Lepisosteus oculatus: one gene and its partners. The protein of the gene in region 4 interacts with the protein of the main gene of each other region in a pairwise test. Links are inferred from orthologs where the notes say so. Each region holds a gene or a part of one and is shown on either strand. Other genes may lie near its edges.

What was found.
Region 1: the proteins of kxd1 (region 4) and exoc7 interact in binary tests that used the Homo sapiens proteins (3 or more experiments, as listed by UniProt). The two-hybrid records come from large-scale screens. The link is inferred for Lepisosteus oculatus from reciprocal best matches to the Homo sapiens genes KXD1 and EXOC7.
Region 2: the proteins of kxd1 (region 4) and map1lc3a interact in binary tests that used the Homo sapiens proteins (3 or more experiments, as listed by UniProt). The two-hybrid records come from large-scale screens. The link is inferred for Lepisosteus oculatus from reciprocal best matches to the Homo sapiens genes KXD1 and MAP1LC3A.
Region 3: the proteins of kxd1 (region 4) and tcea2 interact in binary tests that used the Homo sapiens proteins (3 or more experiments, as listed by UniProt). The two-hybrid records come from large-scale screens. The link is inferred for Lepisosteus oculatus from reciprocal best matches to the Homo sapiens genes KXD1 and TCEA2.

Annotation. Positions count from the first base shown.
Region 1 is NC_090704.1:43,129,464-43,137,349, forward strand, and holds the start of exoc7 (exocyst complex component 7), read right to left. Parts: upstream 3,023-7,886; 5' UTR 2,881-3,022; coding exon 2,821-2,880; intron 2,345-2,820; coding exon 2,279-2,344; intron 1,813-2,278; coding exon 1,628-1,812; intron 1,079-1,627; coding exon 973-1,078; intron 650-972; coding exon 427-649; intron 1-426. Other genes in the region: protein HID1b, read left to right, coding at 5,307-5,372, 7,273-7,422. UniProt on the Homo sapiens protein: Component of the exocyst complex involved in the docking of exocytic vesicles with fusion sites on the plasma membrane.
Region 2 is NC_090711.1:2,773,801-2,780,701, reverse strand, and holds the start of map1lc3a (microtubule-associated proteins 1A/1B light chain 3A), read right to left. Parts: upstream 3,018-6,901; 5' UTR 2,900-3,017; coding exon 2,860-2,899; intron 1,520-2,859; exon of another isoform or gene 1,414-1,519; coding exon of another isoform or gene 1,410-1,413; intron 1-1,409. Other genes in the region: dynlrb1 (dynein light chain roadblock-type 1), read right to left, coding at 4,771-4,814, 5,824-5,991, 6,819-6,894. UniProt on the Homo sapiens protein: Ubiquitin-like modifier involved in formation of autophagosomal vacuoles (autophagosomes). While LC3s are involved in elongation of the phagophore membrane, the GABARAP/GATE-16 subfamily is essential for a later stage in autophagosome maturation.
Region 3 is NC_090711.1:4,608,655-4,616,659, forward strand, and holds the start of tcea2 (transcription elongation factor A protein 2), read left to right. Parts: upstream 1-4,993; 5' UTR 4,994-5,136; coding exon 5,137-5,211; intron 5,212-6,379; coding exon 6,380-6,442; intron 6,443-7,417; coding exon 7,418-7,523; intron 7,524-8,005. UniProt on the Homo sapiens protein: Necessary for efficient RNA polymerase II transcription elongation past template-encoded arresting sites.
Region 4 is NC_090702.1:56,034,277-56,041,240, forward strand, and holds the start of kxd1 (kxDL motif-containing protein 1), read right to left. Parts: upstream 3,003-6,964; 5' UTR 2,919-3,002; intron 1,599-2,918; 5' UTR 1,567-1,598; coding exon 1,472-1,566; intron 740-1,471; coding exon 587-739; intron 1-586. Other genes in the region: ovch1 (ovochymase-1), read right to left, coding at 4,195-4,359, 5,605-5,741, 6,225-6,323.

The DNA of each region.
Region 1 (7,886 bases), on a different chromosome or scaffold from region 4:
ACAAACGGAGCACAAACAACGGCTGTGGGTTTAACTGTATGTCCTATTCGTAGGGGTGCCAACTTCACTGCGCTCTAAACAAGGCACAACTAGACCAATAAAAATTCTTCATGGGCCTTAAAAAGCCAATGAATTGAAAACATGCTGGACTGATGATGCCTTTTAAAGAGTTTAAAGGGCATCATTTAAAAAAAAGTTTAAAGTCCTAGGCCATAAGGAATATACATTTTAATTACAACGTATGCAAGATTTTTTTTTGAGGGAAAAGGCTTTTCTTATCATTTGCTTTTTAAGATAAAAATAAATGAGTTAACAGAATTGCAACCTTAATGACTACAACCCCTCACCACACATTCCCTCCATACAGTGCAAACTCAATACTGAAGCTGCATGCAGTGAAAGAGTTCCAGGACAATCGTGGGGTACCCTGGTTGCGGCCGTATTCTACCAGCCAGCCAGAGATGCAGATGATATCCTGCAGTGTGGCCTCAGGCAGGTGCTCCAGTGTGACCTCTTCCTGCACATCCAGGTCCTCATCGGTTCCAATCAGATCCAAGATCAAGATGGGCGGCACAGGTTTGCTGTAGCGGGTCAACAAACTCCGGAACTCAGCCTCCAACAGCTCCTTCCCCTTCTCAAATCTCGCTTTCTGGGGAAGGGAAGATGACAGGGTAAAACCAAACTCCTTCTTTAACAAAGGTCCTTTTAAGAATGTGCATCAGTCTATCAGGACAGTTGAGCTTAGGAGGTACTGCCATTGAAAAGCTTCATCCTCACATTCTTAAAATCATGACCTCATGTAACAGAGCTGGCAAAGATGAGCAACGGACAAAATAGGTGTTGCATTAAAATACACATCTTGTCTTTTTCAGTACAGTACAGAAATCACTCAGATTCAAAAGAGACATGAACAAATTGTAATATTAAACACATAAAAACAGTGTTTAGATTCAAAAAAGGGGCAGGACTTACAACTGTGTTGAGCTCTGGGCTATCAGGGTTATTGTCCTGAAAATATTCCACTGCTTTCTGGATTTTCGCAATACAAGCAAGGTACTCATCCAGTCGGCCTGTAGGGCTGAAACACACACTTAACTGAGTATAATAAACTGGCAGTCTCAAAACGTGCACCTGTTTTGCATCGATTTAAGTGAAACCAACACTATTTTCACACTCTTTCAGTATTCAGATTTATTAATGTTTTTGCAAGCAGACTAAGACCTAGATTAAATTAAATCGCATTATCTGGTGATTTCTTGCAAATTGCAAATAACTACCCAGGTAGTGGACTACCGCTTTTTAATGAAGTTAAAGGCTTCTTCCTTCCATTCAAACGAAAGAATTACTCATCTATGAATTGGCTTCATTACTCTACTCTCCTCCCCACTGATAGCTGATGTGTGGTGAGCGTTCTGGCGCACTATGGCTGCCGTCGCATCATCCAGGTGGGGCTGCACATTGGTGGTGGTGGAGGGGAGTCCCCATTACCTGTAAAGCGCTTTGAGTGGAGTGTCCAGAAAAGCGCTATATAAGTGTAAGCAATTATTATTATTATTATCTTGGAACGGTGGGTTTGGTTCACCCAGAACACTCCCAGCCCCTCCTCATGCTGGACACCACGCCTCACCCCTCTTTGATGATCTTGTCTGTGTCCTTGGCCACGTGGTAGTAGCTGATGACGTGGTCCAGGCAGGAGAGAGTCTTCTCCACGTTGTCCTGCAGCCGCTGCAGATTCTCTGTCTGCTTGTGCACTGGTATGATGGAGTTCTCCAGCTGCATGAGGCGGCTCTCAAAGGAGGACAAGATGGAAACCTGCAGAACAGCGAGGCAGCGTAGGGAGAGGGTTGAGGTCTTTAACCAGAGTCGAAGCTGCAAAAGCAGTTGCATTCATTTTTTTTATCCTACCCACTCTTATTCAGAGACAAATCAAAAGAACTATGAAACCTGAAAGATCCAGTGGACCACAGGACCATGAATACTATGGACACCCCCAGTATACTATAATCCAACAAATTATTTCAGTGCTGCTTTGTTACCAAAAGGCAATTCCACACCAACCCAGAAAATCAGACTGTATAACCTTGGGATAACCACATAAGTCTAAGTTAAAAACAAACATATAAGGCACTGGAGAGCCTCATTGTTGTTTGGCTTTACGTCCATCTGTATAGCCACTGTTTCTACATTTTTACTATTTCAGGATTACAAGTTAAAACTTGGTGCCCTGCAGTCCTACACAACCAGGAGAGAACATCACTGATCTAAACGGTTTTCTTACCATTCCTTTCGTCAGCTGATCACTTTTCTCCAGGTTTTCACGGATGAATGACAACGTGTCCTGCTCCTGTCGAAGGGTAAAAATATAACAGAGGTGCTGGAAAGCATGTTAATCACACCTTATATTCTGTACCTAGAGGGCTCCAGCCCTGGCCGTTAGGAACCAATGGGTATTCTTGTTTGAACTGCAACCATTGTCTCTCAATTGCTTAATTAGGCCAACTAACAGTCAAAATGAACATGATCTTTAACCACTGACTGAAACCATCTAAAAAGCCCCCATTGTACAGGGGTGTGGCCGCCTCCGAGCTCAAGCGTTAGAGATCACTATGCTTTGACAGTAGAAATCTCCACATACTGTACTACCATTAACAACAATGAACTTTTGCAATTAATACAACTTGGAATGCACACAGATGCGTAAACTAATGTCGGCAAAGAATGTTTTTTTTTTATATCCAAAAAGGAAAATGAATCACAGTCCTTCAAGATGACTGTGAACAGATGAAAATACTCTAAAAGTGCCGTTGATCCTCTACAAACCTGTTTGAGTTTCTCTTCTATTTCTCTCTTCCTAGAGGATGCGTCCTCCGTTGGAATCATCCTGCTAAATGACTGGTTAATGTCCTTATTAAAGTAAAGTATTAGTGTTTATATTTTTGATTCTAACAATTAAATGCACTTGAACCCCTACTCATACTAACAGGTTTTGCTTCCTGTTTTTCTCTTTCGACCTTCTTCCGTTTCCGGTTGGCAGCAAGGCAGTACAGAACCTCTCCGTACGGTCCGGTGTTTCCTTCATTTTGGTTGTGGCAAGAATTGCATTTGAAAAGAATTTTTTGTTATTTCTAAAATTGTTGCGTGCGAAACATTTTTGTTAGGGGATTAGTGAATGCTGCAATAAAAAAGAGTCTCACTTTATTAATATTTTGAACTGAAGTCATTTAAATCACTTTGAATTAATGATTATGGACATACTATTTGGTTGTTTTTTTTCTGTTTAAACACAAATACATTATTCCGTGTACAGTTGTCGTCTTATATAATATAAATTCTAATTTTTCAAGGTGATTTTATCGTGTTGGGGTTTACCACAAAATAAACCTAATGCAATTCTTGTTCCCCTCACATCGTGTCGCTGTAGGATGGCCATTAATACGAGAACTTAAAAGTACAGCGCTTAATTTTTTAAGATAATCCTTTATTTTGTTAGGAACTAGAGTACAACAATCACAGCTGTCCAATTACCGAATAGCCTGATAATATCGATTGTGATAAATGGGGAAAAAAATGTTATTGTGCTCTTTTTTAAAGGGCGATTATAAACCTTTGGTAAGGCTATTCCTGGTAAATTCTAATTATGCAGTGTCTTACACTACAGAAGCATCTGTCTCGATGACTCTCTCAAAGTTTGAGTGCCCAGGAAGTATTTAATTTTAACAAGCGCCCATAGGTTGCTCACGGAACTACAGCGTTTTTTAAACGGACATCAACTTTTATGTATAGGTATACAGATACTGTTGGCACAAATAATATGTAAGAATAAACGGTTTAAATATGAATCTATCTGGTAATCGAATTAAACTGAATTTTGGGAAAACTTGGGTATTACCTACATAGTCCTGTGTTTTACACTTCCATGGCATATAATAACTCAGTGTTATGATTAATAATCTGAAAAGTATCTAATGTTTAATTTTACTGTTTACTCAAAGTGTAACATTTCTTTTTTAATAATAATAATTGCTTATATAACGCTTTTCTGGACACTCCACTCAAAGTGCTTTACAGGTAATGGGGACTCGCCATTGTACTGGGGCATTAGGACCCACGCAGACCGCAGAGCGAGCGCCCCCTGCTGGCCCCACTAACACCTCTTCCAGCAGCAACCTTAGTTTTTCCCAGGAGGTCTCCCACCCAGGTACTGACCAGGCTCACAGGCTCAAAATCTTCTTTTAGCTTCAGAAGAACAGAAAGAGAAATTGTATCATTATAGTGCTGAGAGAAAACTATACACCCAGATTTTAGAATTGTTTGTTTGCGCCCCATGCGAAGGTAAAAGAATGCTTCAGCTACAGGTAGTGCCCTGGCACGTGGTAAACTGGGTGCCCAAGATATGGAATACAAGAGTCACGAGCTTGTTGACTTAATGATGTCATTAATGATAAGGCATCATCCAGGTGGGGTCTCCACATTGGTGGGGGTGGTGGAGGGGAGGCCCCATTACATATAACGCGCTTTGACTGAAGTGTCCAGAAAAAGCGTTATATATCAGTGTAAGGAATTATTTTTGTGATATGAAGGATGAGAGATTTTAGTCGCGGGCGATTGAGCAGTAATTTTGCACGTATATCATTTATACTATTGAAGTTACTGTTGCATAATTTAAACGCCTACAGTAGTCAGTGGATTAAGTGGGTCAATTCCATCGCAATGCGTTAAAAAAAAAATCGCACTCAGCCTTAGCGCATTTTATCAAAGTAACCGGAGAGAGGCTCTCCTGGACATGGGGGCGGGAACCGCTTGCTGTATTCCAAAAACATGTCAAAGGGCGTCTAGTGTCATTAAAATGTATCGATACAGTCGGTAAGGTGGGGGGTAATAATATGATTATTGATAAAAGTAATCTAACATGACAGGTTGACCCAGCGAGGATTATACACTTCACAACCACCGGATTCTATGCCCATATGTGTATTTATTTTGAATTGCGGTAGATAAATTGATGTTTACTTGCACTTGTTGACACAGCAATGAGAGTAGGATCTGAAGGGGCGTCCTGGGGTCCCGCAGTGGAGGTTGATACGCCTGGAGGAGCTGTGCGCCTTGCTCGAGCGCCGAGCGTGCACATGAAAGCCTGGAACCCGGAAGTCCCTCATCCTGGATCCTGCTCCCACCTCATTCATCGCCTTGGCAGCGAGAGAGCCGGAGGAGGAGGAGGAGGGAGGGTGGTGAGAGAGAGAGAGAGAGATTATTTAGGGATCAAAACAGGCAGGCTTGTCTTGACACCCGAGGGGAGGAAAAAAAAAATGGGGAACTCCGACACCAAGCTGAACTTCAGGAAAGCCGTAATACAGCTCACAACTAAAACGCAGGTAAAGGACACGGGGAACGATGCGTTTAAAAAGGGAGGCAGCGTTGTCGGCTCACATATGCAGCCTGAAACGCTGGGTTGATGGAAAGCACTGAGGAAAACGGGACCAGATGGTACACGAACATCAGAGAAAGGATGGATCAGACGAGCCCAGCAGACGGATTTCTTTGAAGAAAATAAATAAATGACGCGTTTTCACAGTAATCGGGCGCGTTAAACACAACGTGAAATAAAAACTGTGGCGTTTTCTGTTAAATTATGTGCGTTTTCTGCTTTCATATTGTAAAAGGTATCGCTTATTATAAATGCAGTCTGACATGGGTTGTAAAAAGATGTAAATAACAGATTTTACCGTTGTATACAATCTGTTATAATTGTCGCTCTACAAAATCTGGATTTTGCATGCGTTGTGTGTGGGTGAAAATGAATTAAAAAATCCCGCACCCCCATCGGTAAATAAAGAGGTAGCTAGTTACTGTTTCTAGGTAGCTAGTAGTAGACTATTCCTAAGAGCTTGATGGGCCTGGGAAATCATTTTCGATAAACGATGGGGAGATTGGTCTTTTTTTCCCACTTCGCATGCGGGTTTCTACTAGTAAATCACCGATTGATCGCGTACATTTATTAATTTTCATATACCGAGGTTTTTCTGTTAAGCGAGCGCACACCTGGTGAAGGTGTTTCAAGGTGGACTCTGAGACAGGGGTTCGTGGATTTACGATAAATAGGAAATTAGAACAGCACTGAAGTCAGCCAGTAAAGAGGGTAGTGTGTTGATATTTGTTTAAATTAAATCTGTAATTTCAAAGACAGTCGTGTATGCTTCTGAGGTCTACTGTACTGATGACGTGTTTTAATCTCGCAAACCTGAGCGGCAGGTGCTTGGTTAAGGTGGACTGAGTGAGATAAGAGAATAAGCAATGACATACTGTTTATAGATGTTATGGCGGCTACAATATTCGGGCAAGTAGGTTAGTTTGCTGTTCGATTGTTTTTCTATCGTCTCATGCAAATGTATGTACAAACTGAGTGATACAACTCAGGCTTATTATTTGAGTAGTCTACATTTTTTTTTCTTATTTGAATCTCAATTTGACTGTCAACGCTTTCACCTCGGGGGGGACTCAGAAGCTTTAGACACGATTCACCGTTTCTAGAGACGAATATCTTAGGTTGTTGTTCGCTATTCTGATGTGGACACACAAAAATAATAAATGATTTAATTTCGTTAATCTGTGCCTTTCAAGATTGTTACGTGAACAAATATTTGTACGTACTTGTATCTTACCGAATCAAAAATGCATAAATCGGTATCTATATCAAAGTTTTTCTTAGTGTAAAACTCATCGTGTGGTGTCGTTACTGGTGAGTGAAGCCAACCAATTATCTGTATGGTATGTTTCAGTGGAGATCGGCGTCACCATGCGTTGGCTGCAAAGGAATAATTAAAGGTTAAGAAAAGAGAAACAGACATTTCATCTGCAGGGACTTAGACTTCCTCAGGTCATACAGATTGCGTTTCTCCTTTCCATTTTCCAGCGTACTTCTTCCCCTGTGTGTTTTACACAAGTTCTCAGATCCAGAGATGGTTCTTTCCCTTAGAAATTGCTTATGTTTTTGTATTGGTACTTTAACTGACTTCTGGGATAATTGGCTCTAGGTGTGAGCGGGTATGTCTGTGCTCTTGTCTTTCTGTCTGCTTTGCTGTAGACTGGCATCCCATCGGGGGGGGGGTGTCCTTATGGTGTATACAGTCATACTTTTGTCACTTGCATTGGTTAGCATCTTGGTAAAAAGGGGTAATTCTTTCTTTTGGTTTACTTTCTATGTAAAAGCACATTTTCTTTCTGGGAAGTGTAATTCATGTTCTCTTCTTTTTTGGGGGGGATCTTTTACTCCAGCCTGTGGAGGCAACCGACGACGCCTTCTGGGACCAGTTTTGGGCTGACACGGCTACCTCAGTGCAGGATGTGTTTGCCCTGGTGCCAGCAGCGGAGATCCGAGCGGTTCGCGAGGAGTCTCCCTCAAACCTGGCAACCCTCTGCTACAAGGTACTGAATGTCTGGGGGCAGCTGTCTGCATTCTACCTGGGCACAGGTGGCAACAATCAACGAGCCCCGATGTCCATGGTTCAGATCATTGATTTGCACTGAGATGTAGTGGTGCTGGGTTTCACCCAGGCTGGCAGAGAAGTGTGTCTGAGTTTGGGCTGTGGAAAGGGAGGCTGTCTGTTCCCTGCAAGGCAGTGAAGGGCTTTCTCCCAAACACTTTTGGAGTGCAGGAAATGAACCGAAAGCAGACTTTATAGTAGTCAATGGCCTATGTTAGTCAGCACTGGATGGGTTTTATTAACTTTTATAGATTTTGTTTTATTGATTTTCAAACTGCAGTTTAAAAGTAGAGGATGAGCAGCTTGTCCGGCACTTTTTGAAGCTCCTTGCTTGGTGAGAATGCTGTGTAGTTTCACTTTTTTTTTAATGCTTCGAAAAAGAACACACGTTGACAGTCCACAAAG
Region 2 (6,901 bases), on a different chromosome or scaffold from region 4:
CTGGGACAATAAAGTCAAGTAACAGTCAGCTGACCTGTGTTAGCTACCGAAACGAGTTCAGCCAGGCAGTCTCTACATGCCCACAGATCCTCCTGATCAGAGTACACAGCTGTACACAGACGTGGCTGACCTTTGACCGCGAACACTAACACTGACAGCACAAAAATAAGCAGTGGGCAAATGAGAAAAATCAATTTTCTGCTACATAAACAGCACCAGGACTGGTCTAGGCCAGAGTTCCCACTCCGAGACAAAGGAACCTGCTATTGCAGCTGAGCTCTCTGTTTAATTAGTCCTTAACGAGGAACCAACAACTTGCTTGGTTAGAACCTTTGAAAGCTTTTCTTCTACTCAGTAGGTGGAGAACAAATGACTTAAGAAAAAGCTGAAAGACAACCTCTAACTAAATATAATTAAAGAGCTCCAACGAAACCTATTAGGTTAGAACAGGCAGTCATCCTTAAAGATCAGCAAGGGGTCGGAGCGGAGAGTCCAGTCACACTGACTGAACTGCAGTTTTCCACCAGGAACAGGATAACCGGCAAAACTCCCCATTCTTTATTACAACACTCCCAAGCAGTGACCTCCCCTTCATCTGTGGATCACATTATAGTACAGTCTGACCACGGGACTTCACTGTGCATAATGACAGCGAAGAGGAGCTACAAGCACAAAGCCCCCCGAGAGGGCAAACAGGGGTAACTAGGGGTCGACCCCCGAAATCCCAATTTCCAAGTTGGGATGTCTGCTAGGGTCACGCCCACCAGGGGCGCAAATTACATCCTGGTCCTGGAGTTCTGTTCCAGTCGAGCCCATGGTCCCAGAACTGAGCCCTTCACCGATGGTATCAACACGGTTCACTTGAACCTCTGGATTGTTCTTCGGCTCTTAAACACCATGCTGGAGGGTGCTTTCTGCCCACTGCATTTCATGAGTGGAATAAGACACCACCCTTCCGAGTGGAGAAGAAATACCACGCATTCCAGCCGGGAAAGGTGTTGCTTCAACCAAGAACAGCTGGGCTAAAGAGCAGCAGGTGTCGTCTTCGCGTGCCAGGATCGGCAAGCCCTTCATTGTTCACACCCACCTGAGGCGGAGCCTGTACGAGTCTATTTAAAGTAAGGAGGGAGGGGCTTTTCTCTCCTTTACCAATTAGTTCCGTGTTGCTCCGATACCGGCTGTCAGCTACAAGTCCCTAATCGACAGGACGCCTTAAGGTAGAGGATGGTTTCCCCCCACAGCTTCTAAATGAAAACCTGTAAATTTAACCGAAGTTGTGTGCTAAATGAAATAGAATGCTTAATTATCCCTCAGCACTGTTGGATTATACCGTCATAAGAAAAAAAAATATTGACCCGTTTTTCTATTTGGAGGATTTCCTAAGCCTATTGCTCTTATTTTGCCCTTACCCATACTGCAATTTTTTCTGTCAAGCCCTGCATCCTCTTCATATGCACGGGTTCTTTGCAAGACATCCGTAATGAGGATCACCCTTTAACATTCTTGACCTGGGGTCAGCTGGCATTCGGAATCCAGCACGCACCGTCCCAAAGATGTTTACTGTAGTAAAAGTCCAAGCTTCGCGGAGGTGAGGGGGTGTGGTCCTGCCTGAAGACGGAGCCCGCCCGCCCCGGAGCTCCGCCCCCATCGCGCCGGAAACACGCGGGGCCGTCGGGTCGCCTTGAGACCTTCCTGTTGGGAGATTTCTGCAGACGAGCAGCTTTTCGTCTGGAAGCACATTGACGATCTCTCCGAGACGGGTAACATCCCGCGTTAACCTGCGTGGCTGCGCGGTACGGCGCTGTTTTTGGAGGTGCGCATTCTCACACAAGCCTGCCTTGATTCATTTTGAAGTGAAAAGGCGGGGGGATACTCGCGGTAAGGCGTGCACGCTGAAGGCGGCACAGGTTGTCGAACTGTTAAAGACACCTGTTGAATACTCTTAAGATGCGACATAGCCGGGATTGCAGGTCAATATCCGCTTATTAGAAAATCCTGATTTATGAAATCAAGTCCGTAAAACTGAATCGCTTTTAACGTCCTAACAAGAATGATGAAAACGTTCTTTGGGTTAATCTGATGTATGGTATGTCATATACGTAATACATTCCGATATAGAGAATGATTCCATTTTATGCAATTTGCTGTTCTTTTGCCACCATGTATCCGATCTGTATCTCATACGCGGACCCATATTAAACAGTGTATTATATGTAACTTCACTGTACCTCCCCATCTTCCCCACCGTGGGGTGCCGACCCCACTCCCGAAACCGGGTGCCCGTGACGCCAAGCACACTGTGACCTCGGACCACCCTGTGGCAGCGATACTACATCATCCAATTCTTTCGTGAAGAACCTGACATCAAAACCTGGTGCTGTTGGCCGCGTTATCCGAAGTGGTCTCGCACAGAGCGAGGTCCTGCAGTGCACCCAGCAAGCTGGTGTAATAATGGGACTTTAAAATCCTCCGTCCCTGAACACCAGAGCCCATAACTGAGGTTTGGTACGGATGCCAACTTGTTCGGTCCTGCCGGTATTCAACTAACGGATTCAAGAGCGGCGATGTGAACGCACGGCCTTCCGGATCGCTCCGCGTTTTTAATAAACTACACGGACGCGAGAAAAAAAACACCTTTCAACACGCTCACGCCCGCTTCACGTACACGGCAGAAAAACAACCCACCCAGGTCGGGCACAACAGAAGTGCCCGACAGGCCGTCTTTATGACGAGGTTTCTAGATTGTTGTTTTTTTTGTTTGGTAAACAAAAGACTGAGCGACACGACATCTGGTAATCAATGATAGTGGTGGTGGGGAATACATTGTCCTAATTTGCAAATAAACTGTTTATGACTTACCAAACGTCCTCCTTTGTTTGAAAGGTCTGTCGGAAGGCATTATTGTGAGGGATCAGTCCGGTTTAACGCCCGTCTCAAGCACAGATGACTGGACAACCTGGGGCTCGGATCTCTGTCTGCCCAGCTCGCTTTTGTGACAGTGTAGCGAGCCGAGCAGTATGACGTCAGCCGGAGACTCTTAAAGGGGAAGGAGCCGTGTTGTGGAGAGGGTGGAGGAGTGTTTAGCCGACAGAATCGGCTCGACGTGTTTCATGAATCCCTTTCATCCATTTTAGGTGCTCTCGTAGTACTTAATCATTTAATGGGGTTGGAGACAGAAATTTAAAAGGCAACAATAAGACCCGCAATGATGCCCCTTACTGATAACACTGCCCATGTTTGGTTTTTACACCCAGTTTATTGAAGTGTGACACGTTTAAACTTGACCTTTAGAGACGGGGTAGGTGGGAGTGTTGGACTAACTGATTGATTCATCCAGGGTATAGGCCTTGACCACGTGACCTCTTTCAATAAACACCTCGATAAAATCCCAGGATCCATTAACTACTAACTAGCAAAGAAGCTGTATGAGCTGAATGGCCTCCTGGTAAATTACCTTTTAGATATTCAAAACAAAAAACTGAGGTCGTTACTTTTATGCATTAAGGAGGCTTTTATTTGTTTTTAGTAGTTTTGTGTTGCAATTAAAATGTACACTTCTACTGGACATGTAGGCAAAGGAAAGCTGGTGGGGGGGGGGTACTGTAGGATCCCTCACTGGGTGTTCCTGATACAATCCTGGCTGTGAAAACTGAATCATTATTTCTGCTTGACATGCATTAAGTGTTGTGTAATCCAGAGGGCTGTGCTGATCAGTCTAATTCAGTGCAGAGAGTGCATGTACATACCAGGCCATTACAGGGCACGCAGAAAAACACTCACACTAGCAGCAGGTTTCTGGGCTGTGGGAGGAAACCCAAGCAAACATACAGACTCTTTGCACATATTGCCACCATGAGAAGTTTATTAGATGCTTTTAAATTGACACATGACTTTCTTAAATATATAGTATGGAACAAGTTCTGTAAAGGAAAAGGGTGCTTCATGGTCCAAAACACAGTAGGGGCAAGAGCCAAGATGAGTCTTTTCTGCACTCATCCAGTGGGTGGCTGTCTTTAGTCAGCTGAAGAAATCAAGAGATTTTAAACGGCCTTACATCGGAGGAAAAGCACTGTACACGTAGTGGAATCTACTCTTCCCAAAAGCCACAGTAAAAACCGTGTTGAGCTGCAGATGCCTTTTAAGCTCACAGGTGCAGGAAATGAATGGAAACAAATACAAATCAAATTCAAACACCCTCTGCAAGCCAGCTCCCTTTGGGGAAAACCACAGCTTTCCAACCCCTCAAGTTTTATTAAACTAAAAGATTGTTTAAATGTAAATAAGAACAAGTTCTACATTGATAACGTCTTTGAAAATATAGTGACCAGTTTTTGAGCAGGACAGTGCAGGATGCTTAATCATTAATGCTGCAGGCCTTCATGGAAGCAGTCCGGAATTAAACACAGGATCACACTGGACCTGGTCAGTCTTCACCCCTGCACTTCAGTGATTTTGTTTCCAACTCTTTAAACCAGCAGCAGTTCCTAGCCTGTGCTTTCTGCTGCATGTGCATGGAGAATACATTCTCTTTCATTGTATAGTTATGATGTATAGCTTGGGAACCAGAGGAATGGAGCTGCAGTAAAGGTTTACTTCTTATTGCACTGAATTACACTCTTTGCACAAAATGAATACTTGTGATGAAACTAATTTATGCTTTTTTCTCCAAGATAAACCTAGAACAATTTATCCGACACTGGCACAGTTTTCGACATACACCATTTGGCCTTGTAAATAAAAAAAATAACTTAATAAAAGGAATAGGTCTTCTTATTCTGTAGGATTCTGGACGACAATGAGGAAGTATTCTTTATCTGTCAAAAGGAAAAAACAAAGATTATCATTTTACTGAACATTGCAAAACAAGCTTAAAATATTATTGCCTTAAAGCACTCCCAATGACCCCCTGCATGACATAAGGGCGGAGTGGTGGCTCTGTGGCTAAGGATCTGCGCCTGTGACTGGAAGGTTGCCGGTTCAAATCCCGCGGCCGGCAGAGGAATCCTACTCCGTTGGGCCCCTGAGCAAGGCCCTTAACCCTAACTGCTCCAGGGGCGCCGTACAATGGCAGACCCTGCGCTCTGACCCCAAGCTTCTCTCCCTGTCTGTGTTTCCATGGAGAAAAAGCTGGGGTATGTGAAAAGACACATTCCAAATGCAAGAAATTGTAAACATTAAACATGAAACGTTAAAAAAAACATTTAAAAAAAAGTTGGGTTTCGTTTTAACTATTTCTAATGTCCAGTCTGTTTCTGCTCATTTTGCTGCTTTTCTGTTTGCACAGAGAGTGAGGACCTGCCTACCTGCCAGAGCTGAAACCTCTGTGAGAATCACCTTGGAGGTCACAGGGCTCTCCTGCCTGAATAACGCCCTCTCTATCCGGCTCGGACAAGGGGCTCGATCTGCACTCTGGGTGAGAGAGCCCTCAGGCTGAGCTACGCTAATACCTGTCTGCTGCTCCTGCTCGCACCCCCACAGTGGTCAGTGAGCAGGACGCTGGGCGAGGAATTTTACACATCAGCGTGCGTGGAGCATAGAAACACAAAAAACAGCTACTAACATAATGCAGTGAAGATTTATTTTTTCTGTTATTCCCTTCCTGTATCGTGATCCAACTGGCCACTAAACCCCACACAATTACAGGGTGCTTGTAGGGGGGGCCGATGAGCCCAGTTTTATAAATCTCAGCGAAGGCATACACTGTATATAACTCCACATACTGCTGCACACGTCACCCAGCTCTTAAAATCAATCTAGCAAAACAGATGCAAACAGCGATTGGACTAATAAATGTTTGTTTTTAAATGCTTTTGATCTGGTTACCTGGGGCGACCATGATTTCGTTTTTCTTGGAGCGGAGCCGGAGGAAGGTGAGGTCATTCTGGGGGTCGATGTCCCGCACGGTGCTCCGCGCTTTCATCACCAGCTGGTGGATGAGCCCCGAGTACTGCACGGTGGTGGAGTTGTCCAGCGTGGACTTGATGGGGATCCCTACCAGCAGGGGCAAGAGGGAGTGAGGTGGGGGATGCATGGCGCACGCCTTTCAAGTCCACCCATCTTCTAAGCTCTTTGTCCAGTTCAGGGCTGCAGGGGAGCTGGAGCCTATCGCAGCAAGCAAGGGGTGCAAGGCAGGGTACACCCTGGGTGGGACGTCAGTCCATCACAGGGTGCCCACACTCGCACCAGGGCCAGTTTTTCCAGAAGCCAATTAACCTGCCAGGATGTTTTTGGACTGTGGGAGTATACTGGGGGAAAAACCCCTGTGAACACGTAGGATATCAAACTTGGTCAGAAACCCACTGGGCACGTTTTGTGGCCCGCGTTTAAGAATAGTAAAAGCCTCCCCTGAAGCCCTAGCGTTCTCGGGCTCTGCCTCAGCCTGCAGGGACACGGGTGCGAGAGATGTGATGCTGAACGGCTCTCCAGGGGGGCCTGTCTGCCAGCCTCCACCCTCTCCAGGGCTCACGGCCCTAAAAACAACTGGCGATTCCCACTTGAGCAAGTCAAGAAAACAGACCCTTTTCTAAGTGCTTTCCGAAGTGTGGGGAGCTGAAGCCTATCCCAGCAGTGGCCACGAGGCAGGGTACACCCTGGACAGGACTCCAGTCCATCGTAGGGCAGACACACTCAAGCCAGGGCCAGTTTTCCCAGAAGCTAGTGAACATACGAGCATGTGGACTCGCCCAGAGGAAACCCACGCAAACCTGGGGAGAACATACAAACTCCACACAGACAGCACCCCAGGTCTGGAACCAAGCCCAGGACTCCGCCACAGCAATGCTGACCACTATGATACCTGTGCAGGTGGGCGCACGTACCTTCTGCATTAACGATGATGATCCCCTGGACACCCTTCTGACTTTGAATCCTCTTCAAGGTTTCCTCCACTTCAGCCTGCAAG
Region 3 (8,005 bases), on a different chromosome or scaffold from region 4:
AAGCAAACGCTTGGATTCTTTGACACACTAGAAACACTTCATGGGGAAAACCCCTGGATGAAATGAAGTGAAATAACAGGTACTGTACATAAGAATTTGAAAGCCTTACTTAGCGATCCTCAACAGAGGAAACAAGTCCACCGTGCATTTCAGGCAGTTCTATTCTTATGAATCCCCACTGGACGCTACCTTTGCGAATCTATCTGGTTAGCGGGCGATGAAGGAAGTGTTAAATTGGAAAACACTGTGTGAGAGTTCAGGAGCTCAAACCTTCCCACAGCAGGATTTATCAGGCTGCAGTCTGCAATCCTGCTTTTACCAGCCAAGGGGAAATGTAATAATACCAGACTGAGGCAGGTCAAGGTTGCTGGGGAGAGGGGGTGCCGTGTTGAGGGGGATGGGAAAGACGCTCAGCAAATGAACTAGAACTTTCTATTACAATACGCACCGTGACTGTATTTCCTCTTCTGCTTGATAAGCCCGGTGTGTCGAATCTCATTCAGATCAGAATGATGTAATCTTATCTCTGGCTTGATATGAAAAGACACATGGTCACCATACGTGAACGCCTTTTGTGGAGTTCTGGAAAAGTTTTTCCGTTTTGAACAGGAAAAGTAAATGCTGACTCTTGCACTGGTAATAAGAATTACAATACATTAAGGAAAAATTGTTTGTTGCCAAATTACAACTATGGAGTGTTGGATATGCATCTGTAACTATGCCAGTATTGGGTTTGATTGCATCATACAATTCTAATAAATATGAATAAATCATGATGATCCTGAAAATAATTATCCTAATCCATAAGTAGCACTAGAAGTGCCACTGGAAGAACGTGATGAACGTCTGTAGAAGCACCACTACAGTACATTACTGAACTATTTACTGGACCATAATGTATTCTCTATTCCAAACCCCAAAATAGTAGATGAAGTAGAAATAAATGATGGTCCAATAGAGCTGGAGCCTAAAACAAACTACTGCACATATAACTACAACAGGTTAATAACTGGACTGTGAGCTATTTGTGCTGAGAAGGAGAAAAGGCAAATCTGAGATAGTCTTTTGGACTCCAGTGATGTCTAAAAGAAAGTGTTTTATGTGCTTTGGTACATATGTTTAAAATTTAGACCATGTACTTTCGTCAGACAGAAAGACCCTTGACAGAAGAAGATAATGCTTCATTGTTTTGAAATAAACTTGGATGTTGTTCAGTCTTCTTTTATTCATTAGCCGAAATTCTATATATGTCAGACAGTTTTTCTGACCATGTTTCCGTCATTTCTCCTGGAAAGGCTGTAAAAGACACAAGGCTGCGTTAATGATGGGAAATACTAATTTTCTTTTAGGGTTTTTTCCATAAAAATCACGGATATCATGACATGAACTTCCCTGTGGAAAGAATACTATAGCCCACGCTGTATCATTTTTTTAGATCAGAAAAGGCATAAAAGACTTGGTTGTAGACTATATTCTCATCACAACATTTCCTATTTTAATAATTTCAACTTTACCACTGTATAAATGCATACTGTAGCATTGTGTAAGCAGATACTTATACCATGTACTCAAATCGCTTTGCTTCATTTTCCCTCTGTTGGCTCCAGGATTTGCCCCCAAAAAACCCTGAGATCTTATTAAGAAAAAAAAAAACAATTCTCCTTAAATTAATTCAGTCATTTTACTGAGTTCAAGAGCATGATTGCAATTATTATTATTCCACCTATACACAACATTTTTTATTTAGAAGTTTTAAAACTGAAAAATGAAAACGGATTAAGATAAGCTATTTGCAATATAACTCCTGTTATTATTTTAGAATGACATAAAGCAACAGAATTCAGCTCACTGCCCTTAGTAACTGGTTTATCAGCTCTTCTTGACGAGTAAGAAAGAACGGGAACATCAGATTGATGGAGGTGCAGCATGTTGTCACAAGATAAAAGGAAGCTGGGGGGATTTAAAATGCACTGCAGACCAAAGTGCATTCATCAGCAGCTCTTTAACAAATTTTGTAGCAGTAAAGGTCACTGTAATTGTTGAAGAACATTATTTTATTCCATTCATATTTCACTGAAATATTCAAGTGACGTGAACTTGCACAAGCTTTCCACTCAATCAAACTGAAACCAGAACTACAAAATACTAAAGGTCATACTTGTTAGACCACAATGTTATACCTGACACAACACATGCTGTTCTTGTACCATATTGTAACTCTATGTCAATGTGTTCCACGCTTCAAGAGGAACTTGTATTTACTGCTGGTGGCACTGTGGTTTGCATTGCTCCCTTGGAGTGCTGGATCCCAGGGTTTAATTCCTGGGCTTCTATCTTTGTTGAGCTTGTATGTTCTCTCTGTGTTTGTGTGGGTTTTCACCAGAAGCTCTGGGTTCCTCCCACAGTCCAAGTACATGCTAGTAAGTTAATTTACTTCTGAGAAAATTGGCCCAGGAATCAACATGCATGCTATTCTTTCACTGCTTTGTCATGCGTATTACTGTTGTAGCCTTAATAACTGTTCTGTTTAAAAAACGGGCATCAATTCTACTTTTTTCAAATATTTTTCAATGATATTTCTTCAGGACCATAATCTTCATCTTCCTTTTAGAATTTCCATTTCTCTGAAAAGGGGGAAATTGCTATTATGAAATTGTGGACTTATAACTAATGAGACTATTCTACCAGAAACACTGGGGTAACTGCCAAGACCTGCAAAGTACAGAAGTATATTTGAAATCCCGTAAATAAATCAGGAAAAACATCTTTCTTATATGCAGTGTGGGGACCCTCAAGACCATTTTAAAATGAATTCCATTGGATTGGTTTCCTGACTGAATTAATAGTGCTAGTTGATACCTGTAAGTTTAAATCATATCAGTAATTCTACCTTCTTCTTTGGACTATAGTGCTTGAGGAAATTTATGAGTTTTCTCTTCCCGTACTAAAAAGATTGGAGCACTGGGAATTTCCAGTAAGGCAGGTTGGCTCCTTCGAAGGTGGGGTTTCCTTAGAAAGCATACCACCCTAGTAACAGAACAGTAATGTGAGCTCTGTCTGTTGAGTCCCCGAAAGGGATATCCCCTATTGTGTCAACCATGATATACACACAATCCCACTCCTGCTGTATGCTGTCATTAGGTTTTTGGTCTATTATGCCTAAACAGACACTCAGTAACACTATAACTCTTTATTTATAATGCTTTGCTGTCTTACGTATCTGCCTGTAATCCAATCCATGTACAAATCCACTGATCTCTATATACACACTGTTCGCAATATGTACAGTATATCTAGGTTACTTAGAAAGTGCAGTGACATTCATATTCATATGATTTTAATCTAAGAACTATGTGTTGTAAATCTAAATCTGTACAAATCTCTTGAAATTATCTGTACAATGTGCAGAATAAATGTTCATACAAATTGATACTACAGATGTAAAGGTACAGAGACTGGAAATATTTAGAAACAAAAAGTTAGCAAAGAGCCTTCGCCTCTGATAAACTATTTCGCATGGCAATATATATCCCTGTCGAGTCAATATGTACAACATGCACCAAACAGGTGTGTGATTAAAAATATAACACGTTTTATATTTAAAAATTAATTTGTATAATCTTTGATACTATAGTTATTATCATTTATCTCAAAGAATTGCATTACATGCGCTTGTTTTTCATTTCACTGTCTAATATATATATGAAAGTTTCCAGTCCACTTACTGATTAGGAAATGTGCCTTAAAACTTAACAACTAATCTACACTAATGACATAAATTGAAATATTATTGTACAGAAAGCAAAAAAGATTTTTGTACTGCAACAGATAGGGCCAGTTAATCAGGAAAATTAATTCACTAAAGGTAGATATGTAAAAATTCGCATAAAAATCCACAAATAAGAGTCGCTACTAGCAAATAGAATTCTGCATGTTCTTACGATTAAGGGCATGTTATTCTGAATGAAGCAACAGCGCCATCTGTTGGTTTTTCTGGTGGTAGCTTTCAGTTCTAACCAGAGCGTAAAAGGCTCAACTTTTGTGCACAGATGGAGGTAAGATGAGCCTACTCTGTTGAACTTTACATCAGCAAAGCAAAGGATAGAAATAAAAAAAATGTTGTTTATTTCATTGTTGCAAAGTTGCAAAGTATGTTGCAAAGTTTAATACTTTGCAAAGACAATACCTACAATACTTTTCAAGTCTTTACTGTGATTTTGTAATATATTTCTTATATATACAGAATGCATACAGTATGCATTGCAAAGTGTTACAAATACCATGCTTAATTTTTTTAATAGATTTATTATTTTTCTGGTCACATTTCGCCAGAAAAATCCTCATGCTCACCTATAAGGCTTTACATGGCTTGGCACCTCAATACCTGTCTGAACTTTTATCACCCTACTCCCCACCTCGCAACCTCCGCTCTTCAAATTCTGCCCTCCTTACTGTCCCCCAAGCCCGTCTACATTGTATGGGCGACAGGGCCTTCTCCTGTTCTGCCCCCAAGCTCTGGAACTCTCTGCCCAAGGATATCAGAGAGTCACCTTCTCTAAACTCCTTCAAATCCAGACTCAAAACCTTCTTCTTCAGAAAAGCCTTTACTTAACTGGTTCCATTCTTCACCCCTCTGCTCTTCTTAATACCACCTTCCACGGTCTCCTCTATTGTTATTGTTGTATTGTTGTAATTATAATTGTGTCCTATCTTGTGAAATCTTCTTATTTATTGTTGTAGTCTTCTTATTTATTGTTATTCCTGTAAAGCGCTTTGAGAAGCCACCTTTATATAAATGCGCCATATAAAATAAAGTTTATTATTATTATTATTATTATTATTATTATTATTATTATTATTATTATTATTATTATTATTTACATATTCCACAGAACAAAAACTACAGCACCCATGATCCTAAGGGAACTGTGGGTTTCGGCTTACTGGGACCTCAGTAACTACAAATCCCAGGATCCATGTGACCACTCCGGACTCGCTAAACAAATTCACGGTCGTTGTACTGCGGCAGCCTAGCTCGTCTGAATGCTGCGGGAGTAGGGAGAAAGCAGTGTGATCAGCGTTTGGGAGATAAATGGAGGTTTATTTCGCGACATTTGCAGTACTCTTATAAAAATCATGCAGATGGCGAAGGATCAAGAAGTTGAGCGTATTGCCAAAAAGCTAGACAAGATGGTCAATAAAAAAAACACGGTAAGGACAATTTAATAGCATCCTCTTAACATAGGTGATAGCTGTTCAGATGTTTCACCTTTGTTTCGGTAGAAAATTCTGACGAAATCCAATCGAGGAGACGGCCAAGCGCTTTATTGCGTGCAGTTTCCTATATATATAGCAAGATAAGTCTAAATAAATAGGAAGGGCTTTTTCGTGTTCAGCAAGAAAAATCCGTCTTGTTTGATTGTGCTGTATTTCACAATTGTAACGCTGGTAATACAAAGTATCCGCTGGTTTCATGTTCCCAGATATCTCAGGCCGAGATTGCACCCACCTGGGAAAAGGAGACAAGCTCCAGTCTCATACGGTTCGGATGCATATGTAGGCTGTGCCGTTTTGCAGTAATGAAATAATAACGATACGAAGAATAGCCGTTTTGTCAATTTGTAAGCACACTCATACTGTTCGCAGACGCCATCGCATCACATGCAGTGCCTGTAATCCTTATGGATCCCCAAAATATCAGTACCGAAATATGCAAATCTGTTCTGCGATGCTGGGATTTACCACACCTCTTGGGTAACGTGAAGTTTTGTGTAGGCTAGCAATCGTGCCGTCCGTGTATTAAAGGCTAAAAGTGGGCTGCATCAGAGATCTGCATGTTTATGTGCTGATGAGCTGGCAGCTGGTATTGGTCCAGATTTTTCTGTAGTGTCAGTCTTTAACAAATGGGAAGCAGGCTTTTTCTATAAAAACAATGGACCGGATCGCTATGACCCGGGCGGCTACAGTTATTTAACACAAATGGCGATATATATATACTGTGACTAGTGTGACACAGAACGACCCATCCGTATGAAGTGTCATTTCTGTAGCAAAACAGGTTTAACACATTGTAGGTATAAATGAAATAGAACGTTTAATGACGGAATGACTTAAGTGCTAAATGTATTTCAGTAGGGTTTATACTGTCTATGCAAGAAATGTATGTTATCAATGCAAGAAAACGTTAATGATATAATCATGAATTCCATTTCAGTCACGCACTGTTTAAGAGTCCCGCGTGAATTTGCCTAGGAAGAAATGAAAGCGAAAGTCTCGGTTTTGATTCTACCGGCGGTGCCTTGCATTTATTGTATGTATCTGAATTCTTCTGAAGTTCACGGAGTTTGCAAATTATTTACTTCACTTTTAATCTTTTTAGGATGGAGCTGTGGACCTGCTGAAAGAACTAAAAAATATAAAAATGTCATTAGAGACGTTGCAGGTGAGTTAGAGCAATCATAACATTAGAAATGACAGAAATCAAAATTGTAACTTTCAAAACACGAGGAGGTACCAATGAAAGAAGGCCATCATGCTCACTTGGTTGCTATTAATATATTGAGTTTAAGGTTTCATCCACCTTGCTGTAACTGTACTGTATAGCAGGGCAGTGTGCTCTGGACCAATTACTGTATGTTGCTCTCACATGAGTATTTATAGTATTGCTTTTAAAAAGGCTTATTAAGAATTACTTTATAAAGTGCATGCAATGTGCAATTAATCCACCCTAGGCAGTTTGTAAAACGTCTTGTTGGCCTTTTATCTAGATAGGCATCAGTTTTTGAGTATTTCCAGATTATATTTTTATTTTGCACTGGACACACAATCCCTGGTTTTGAACTGGATAGGGATTGTGTGCCTGAAATCTCCACCAGATGAGTTGTGTGGGATGACCAGTACCAGGAATGTGCCACAATGCTGGGCTGAGCCTATAAATGTCAGCATTGGCCTCGGATTACAATCACACTTTTTTTTATCAAGCAGTGATTTGCTCGGATCCTCTGTCCGTCCCTAGGGAGAAGGTGTGTGTGGCAACGATCCACACCCAGCTGGGCTCCAGAGTGCCCGTAGCACCCAGGTTATCTCAGAGTTCCCTGCTGGCCAAGTTGCCAAGATCAGCCACTCTAGTGCAGCCAACACTACAATGGGCTTCCACTTAGGGAATTATTCCTGCAGCTGAGTAGTGGTACAGGCCAGAATGAGTGTCTGGGAGACTCTAGGGCACAACCTGAACCCCAAATGAATGACTTTACTGATTGATTCAGGTTGTGAATCCCATTTTTATCTTGACTGAATGTTTAGCTTTTACATTACTTTGGGATTTCTTTTAGGATTTTTTTTTTATTATTCGAGACAGAAAGGAGACAGATACAAAGTGTTTTCTGCATGTTTGAATGTTATGTTCTGTATTTTACAGTCTACAAGGATTGGGATGTCTGTTAATGCGGTGAGAAAGCAGAGCAATGATGAAGAAGTCCAGACTTTAGCCAAATCTCTCATTAAATCGTGGAAAAAGCTGCTCGGTAATGAATTTTCTGTTTCAGATTTACATAACGTAGTGCTTCTCAACCATTTCCATTCCGCCGTTCAATTTTATGCAGTAAATTAAAAAAATTTGCGGCACACCGCCTGGGCGCACACACGTAATAGGCCCAAGCACATTATTAAAATATTATAAACAAATCTCAGGAATGTATGATGGGGGAAGCACTGAGATGTTCTCTGTTTTTATTTTGCTATGTCAAGCTTAAAAAATTGAATTTGTGCCACACGCCATTCCCTTATGGATGATCTTTAAGTGTGGCCTCTATCTTCTTTGTATACACTGAACATGTAACATGAGACTTTGGTTACTCCACAACATTAATACAGTATATATATATAAAAATATTTAGTTTTTTTTATTTTCTCATATGTGATTTGTTCAGAGTTTTAAAGGTGCACCCTGTTAATGTCTGAAGGCACATTAGTTGAGAAATGCTAATGTGAAGGTTTGCTTTGCTTG
Region 4 (6,964 bases):
GTCTACATACTTTAGCAAGGCGCTGTAAATGAGAGAAGTTTGAATTGTTAGTGGAAAAAAAGAGACGGATTTTGAGTCTGTTAGAATCTTAAGCAATCTAAAAAAATACCTCATCCCACAACCTGTATTTTCTTTGGGTCATGTTTGCGCTCCAACATCCAAGGTTGTCTCCCATCTGAACTGCAGCCCTGAAGTCTGATACCTGTCTTGATCAACAAGTGATCTGTTGTTCCCAGAGCTGCTCTCTAATGTTTCTGCTTCACGCCTCGGGTCATCTCCCCCAGATGTTGTGCAGATGCGGAGAAAGATGGATCCTGCACCTGCTGTCTGTAGGGACACCTGCAGCGCAACAGGGCTCATGCCCCGAGCCGCTCTGACACATCACCCCTGCGTAGAGCTCGGCTGTGGGACAGGACCTGGACTGTCCCCTGTCTAGGGAGCTGTCCCCTGTCTAGGGAGCGGGGCTGTGTGTGCCTGGAGCCCGCAGGCGACTGGCCTGGATCCTAGCAAAGTCCTGCTAGTCCGTGAGAGAGTATGGAACTCTCCCAGGGACGGTCTTTTGGGGGAGGCGGAGACAAGCCAGCACCTGATTCGGCGAAAAATGCTGTCCAGATCCTTCTTCATCTCCACCAGCGTCCTCGTGTGGTGCTGGAAGCGGTCACTCATCTGCTGGAGACGCACGCTGGACAGGCCGTTGAAATTCAGAAGCATCTCGTTGGTCTTTTCAAACCGGTCCAGCCTGCAGGAACACGTCACATAGAGAAAGTGCTTGGAAGCTGGACGAGACGGCACACCGATATCCCTTCCAGGATTTAAAGAACAAAAAACAGCAATATAAAACTAAAAAAATTAAATCTAGAATGAAGCCAACATCTTTCCTATATATTATTTGTTTTTTCAATGTAACTGGCTTCATCACTCTGCTCTCCTCCCCACTGAGAGCTGGTGTGTGGGGAGTGTACTGGTGCACTCTGCTCTCCTCCCCACTGAGAGCTGGTGTGTGGGGAGCGTACTGGTGCACTCTGCTCTCCTCCCCACTGAGAGCTGGTGTGTGGGGAGTGTACTGGTGCACTATGGATGCTGTCGCATCATCCAGGTGGGGCTGCACACTGGTGGTGGTGGAGGGGATCCCCATTACCTGTAAAGAGCTTTGAGTGGAGCATCCAGTGGAGCTATTATTACTGAAACCTGCGCCCAGAATCCTGCCCAGAGGATTCTCTAGCTCATGTTGATGCGTGTTGTTTGTTTGTGCGTTTTCCTGATATTGTCTGCTGCCGTAAAACAAATTGCCACCTCGGGGACAATCGAGAAACTCTCTCTCTCTTATTTATGTATGTAACAGATGTGTTTCCTTCAAAAAAATAATTCCTGTGTTATACAACACAGATATATCTGCATGTCATCTGACAAAACGTTTTTTTTATTCTCAGAATTACAGTGCAGTTAGACGAGAGCCACGCATCGTACTCACATGTGCCTCTGCGCCTGGATGATGGCGTTCACATCCTCAGAATTGACCATGCTGAGCATCCTGTCGCAGAACATGCCGGAAGCAGTCGGCTCCATGCTGAGCCTTCGAGCAAAGAACCAGCAGTGTCCTAAATGGACAAAGTAGATATAAACAAAAAGACACGCAAATTAAAAGCTGGTAAATTGAGAAATAACTATGAAATCTTTCATTCATTAATCAAACAAAACGTTAAATCAGTGTTAAAGTTATAGAATGTAAAGGGATCACAGAAATTTAAATGAAAAATGACAAGAAAGGAGGAAAAAACAGACACTACGGGCAGTCCTGAGCCTACTCGATCAAACATCAGTGACAGGAGCGTGTCAGGGGAATCGAGGTGTTGTTGTTCTACACTCGGAGCAGCACACAGCAAGGAGGAGATCCGGCTGCTGGGAGGTCCCGGCGAGAGTGAGAGCAGCAGAAATAAGACGAGCTCTGGCAAATCATGACCACACTCAAATCGCTTCTAATGTGCAGAGGACACCAATCCAGGCAGAACTGTAAATAGTGCCGTAACTGTACGAGCATCACACCAGGACGCAAAGACTACAGACCGGGGCAGACACCTGCCGAAACAGAACTGGATAAGGGCAAGTCACAACGAACAGGAAGCAGAAACACGAATCCCAGACATCAGATGGGCAGAAGAAGCAATGAATGGGGAAGATGCAGTAGAAGGGTGCAGGAGGTCCTTCCTGGTTTCTACAGCTGGGGCCTCGTTCGAAGCCGCATGTGCACTGAGCAGCTGCCGCGGTCTTCACTGAAGAGATTTACTTGGAAACACGGGCATCGAGTGCACAGCACCCCTGCAGCCTGGAGTCAACGTCACACGGCGACTCAAACAGCCACGTACTGTACCTCCCCAGCACCAGATAAAACGCATATACTACCATGCACGCTCAGAAGCGCCACCGGCTGTCGGTAAAGCCAGTGCATCGCAAGACTGGAAAACGACACGCGTGCAATTTGTTTACTGGTGTCAAGCCTAACTGTTCAGGAAGCGAATTTTAAAACACCTCACACACTTTTTTTTTTTTTTTGAGACCGATTCGGCATTCCGAAGACGAAACGAGCAAGTGTCGATTCCGTATGAACCACTTCTGGACGGTTCCACAGTTCATTTTTTTTTAAGTCCGCATCTTCAAAAGGCTCAGCCGACCTCCTGTTATTTGACAAGTGACGCGTATTTGAACCGGGGCTGCCAGCCTCCCCAATGCGCATCGTATCGCTCAAACTCGCACTGTCACTCGTTCAAGAAATGAAGAAGAGGAGAATGGGCATGATGCAGCTCTCGGATCCTAGACTTGTCTACTGAATGTTAGGAGTAACGCTCGGAGTTTGACATGATCTGGTATGGAAGACGCGAAATAAGCGGCATCTCTTCGTTTTGCTACATCTGTAAACTCACGCCTGCTTCGCCAAGGGTTGCCGTGGGTGTAATCCTGGTTAATGTTTACTTCCACAGCCTCATTTAGTTGTAGTAAATAAACGTCTCCAGCCCTTCCTCGGTTGAGCACGACTGCGCTGCGCTCACTTCCGTATTGCGGAAACGCACAAGGGACTTCCTGTCCGGCGCGGAACCACGTGTGCACGCTGGCGGAAGAGGCGGATTCCCAGGCCCTGGAAGTCCTGCGTTTTTAATCTAAAACACTGCCCGTTTCGTATCAATACAGCACCGATTACTGCAGGAGGATGGAGCACGGGCGATCTTTGGCCGGTGGGGGGCGTTGTTCCTGCAGGTTTTCCAGTGAAATATTAAATAAAGCAACAATCCAGCTTGTTTCCATGCCATATGTCCTCTCACTTTCAGAATTAAGAACAGCTATAAAGAAGAAGGATACCATTCGACCAGTCTAGCTCTCTTGGTATTTAGTGGAATTCGGTTGTTAAGTGATCCAGGGTTCTCCTTCAGTTGTTTCTTCAGTATCAGCTTCAACAACATGGACAGGTCACTTGTTTCATGGTGTATTGATATGAAACTGTATTGATATGAAACTCATACTCAGAAGAAGATCATTAGATCTCTGGCTTGGGCTTTGCCTTTCGTGCATTTACAGCATGTAACAATGCCAGCTTCAGAGCCACCCAACACCAGACCACTACAGGGATGTAGTAATGCGCTGTATCCCAACAGGCTTTGCAAACCTCCTGTGGCAGGAGACTGGTTCTCCAGCTCAGCTGATTGGTTCCTGAGAGATGAGCGCGAGATGCCGAAGGGCCTCAGGCCAGGGGCTCCCACTTCCAGGGCTGGAGTGCCACACAGTTGCCGGCCTTCCTTCCCACTGAGCTTCGTCACTGAGCTGGACTGAGAAGTTGCTTGATTGAAATATTTGCAGGATTTGTTTTATAGTCTGAGTATGTTATGTATGAAATGCAATAATAAAAGGCAGCCTCCAGCATGTTTAAAAAGAACAATCTTTTGAATTGATAATATCAAGTCAATTAAGGGTTCAGTTATGCATCTAAGCAGCCGCGTGGTCCTTCAAGACCGGGACGGAGACCCCTGGCTTGGCTTGACCCCTGGATTATCATATCAATCACCAATCGATCGTATCATTTGTCAACCAGAAAACTACCTCCTAATCATGTGAAGAATGATCCGAGTCAACAACAACAGCAAGAATTCATAGCCAGTGAATCGAGCATCTTGGTTAAGACTTTATTTCAGACGTGCTGCTCAGTATTTACACCTCTCCCCACGTGACGTCTTTTATCCAGGACCTGTAGGCTGACACCCTGGTGAAGACAGCCGGCCTGTGCGCTGTGCAGGTCTTGCTGCCCCAGGTGAGCACGCCCCACAGGGAAGACACACCTTCTCTGCTGCAGACCAGCGCCCCTCCGGAGATCCCCTGGAGGGAGGGAGGACGTTTGACACAAATTCTCTTCAGTTTATTCGAGACTCTGATGGTTCACAGTCAGGCTCGGGGTTCATTCCAACTCCCTTTCAACCCACTGAAATGGGCAAAAAGTGGACCTGAAACCCCGACCTACTCAAAGTAATTCAACTTTAATTTAAGCAAGTATAGAGTATAGAAAAATCAGACTCTGTAAAAACAATACCTGTACATATACCTACATCGCTGTTCAGAATGTAGCAGAAGACCTCGTTGAACTGGGAGAGACGGGTTTAAATAAGAGGAATGTCTTATGGAAGACTGAGTAAATCCCCACACAGTACCGATACGGGAGACGTTTCATTCATACCAAATAAAATTCTAGGACACGCTACTTAAAGTGTAGTTGAATTGTAAACGTTTAGATGGTAGGAGAAATAAAAGATGCACCTTGCCCATGTCTGAGAACCGGTGCAGAAATGTAGTAGGAGTGTGGTATTTAGTCAGGTTTCAAAGAGATCTCATGCTGTAATGATGCCAATGCAAGTATTCCAGCCCAACCAAGACCTGTTGATTTTAACCATGGTGGTGCAATGCTGCATTTTGGAAATTGACTAAAAGGCAATGGCATGGTAGAGCATGTTCTGTATGAGTACAGATGCTGTTAGGCCACTGAACAACAGACAGCCCAATGAAATACACACAATGACCCATGACATTACTGATCACTGAGCCCTGGAACAGGCACGTGCTTGTCTCGGCTCCGAGAGGAGCAGTGCAGGATCCCACCAGACAGCAACTGTGGCCTGATGTACACAAGACTGCCCTGTGCTGTAGCAGACATTAACCAACGCAAGTCTGGTCAACAAAATAGCAGCATGCCCCCAACAAGAAGAGATATTTTACAGATAACTCTTTTAATTTGTTGCAATTATCAGCAATACGTTACTTTTGACACTTAGTTAACTGTATATTTAGGATGCAATGGTAAAATGGCTGTTTTAAATGAAACAACAGCGGGATTTGAGCAGAAGGCACAGAAACGACATGAATGGACTCTCTTTCACAACAGTGCAGATTACCAGAGTGTGTTCCCAACAATTAAATCCATTACCAATCTGCTACAGTATAGCCCATCTAAATAACATGATAAATAACATTAAAATGTCCGTCATCTCGAGCACTGTAAAGTATGAAATACTGTATCTGTACAGATGTTACCGTGTTGTTGCAAGAGCGAATGGAAATTGAAGAATATACCATGCAAGATCTGGATCCAGCTGCCCCTGCACAGATGTGGGTCTTAAGAATAAGGTCTTCTCCCCAGCTCTTTCTACAAGACGTTTCATTAACCAGCTGTATTCTGGCCTGGCGCAGCACATCCGGGTTAATATTTGCTGGAAACGGATTGGAAACAGACACTTTGAGAGACGTTTTTAAAGGGAAAAAAACCCCATCTCACTAAACACACAGCAATATTTTTTAAAAAAAGAAAAACTAGCACAAAGTTTTCAAACTACATTATAATGAAACCTCAAGGGGAAAAAAATATTGAAAAGAATAAAGAATTTAGGACGAGCCCTGAAATCTGACTTTAAAGGGAAGAGTAAGCAGAAGGGCCTTTAGTGAACTTCAGCCATGATTTTTCTAGGGTTTTGGCCCTCTCGCCCTCAATCCAACGTGCGTGGCCTTGAAGATGGGTTTCCTAAAGCACAGTAACAGAAGCTGCACACAGGAGTCAGGGTCCCCGAGTGCAACAGGCGTTCCACACTCGCGTCCCGGATCCCGCCGAGGAGACCAAACAAAAGGTGGGAGAGCGATTGCGTTGCCAGATCCGACCCAGGCTGCTTCCCGAAAGGGGCAGCAGGGATTTGACTCACGGGCAGCGCTGCTGGACCCCCAGCCCGTCGTCACACAGGACCAGCTGTCATCCAGGTCGACGCTCTCATCCGGCAGGCAGGCCGGAGCCACGGCGTCACCTTCACAGGAAGAAAAACCACCGCAGATTCACAAACCAGCGCGGCTGCGAAATACATTCTAAACACGTTTGAAGAGGGCGGCACCTCAGTAGCTGCCATTGCGGTCTCGCACCACTGGGGCCCTGGGTTCGAGTCCAGACCTGGAGAACTATCCGTGTGGAGTTTGCATGTTCTCCCCATTTTTGCATGGGTTTCCTCCAGGTGCTGCAGATTCCTCCCACAGTCCAAAGACATACCAGTAGGTTAATTAGGTTCTGGGAAAAGTGGCCCTGGTGCGAGTGCGTGTGTCTGTGTGTGCCCTGTGATGGACTGGCGTCCTGTCCAGGGTGTGTGGGTGTGGGTGTGGGTGTGGGTGTGGGTGTGGGTGCGCGCCCTGTGATGGACTGGCGTCCTGTCCAGGGTGTGTGTGTGTGGGTGTGGGTGTGGGTGTGGGTGCGCGCCCTGTGATGGACTGGCGTCCTGTCCAGGGTGTGTGTGTGTGGGTGTGGGTGTGGGTGTGGGTGCGCGCCCTGTGATGGACTGGCGTCCTGTCCAGGGTGTGTGTGTGTGGGTGTGGGTGTGGGTGCGCGCCCTGTGATGGACTGGCGTCCTGTCCAGGGTGAACATTGCTGTGCACCCCTTACTTGCTGGGATAGGTCCCA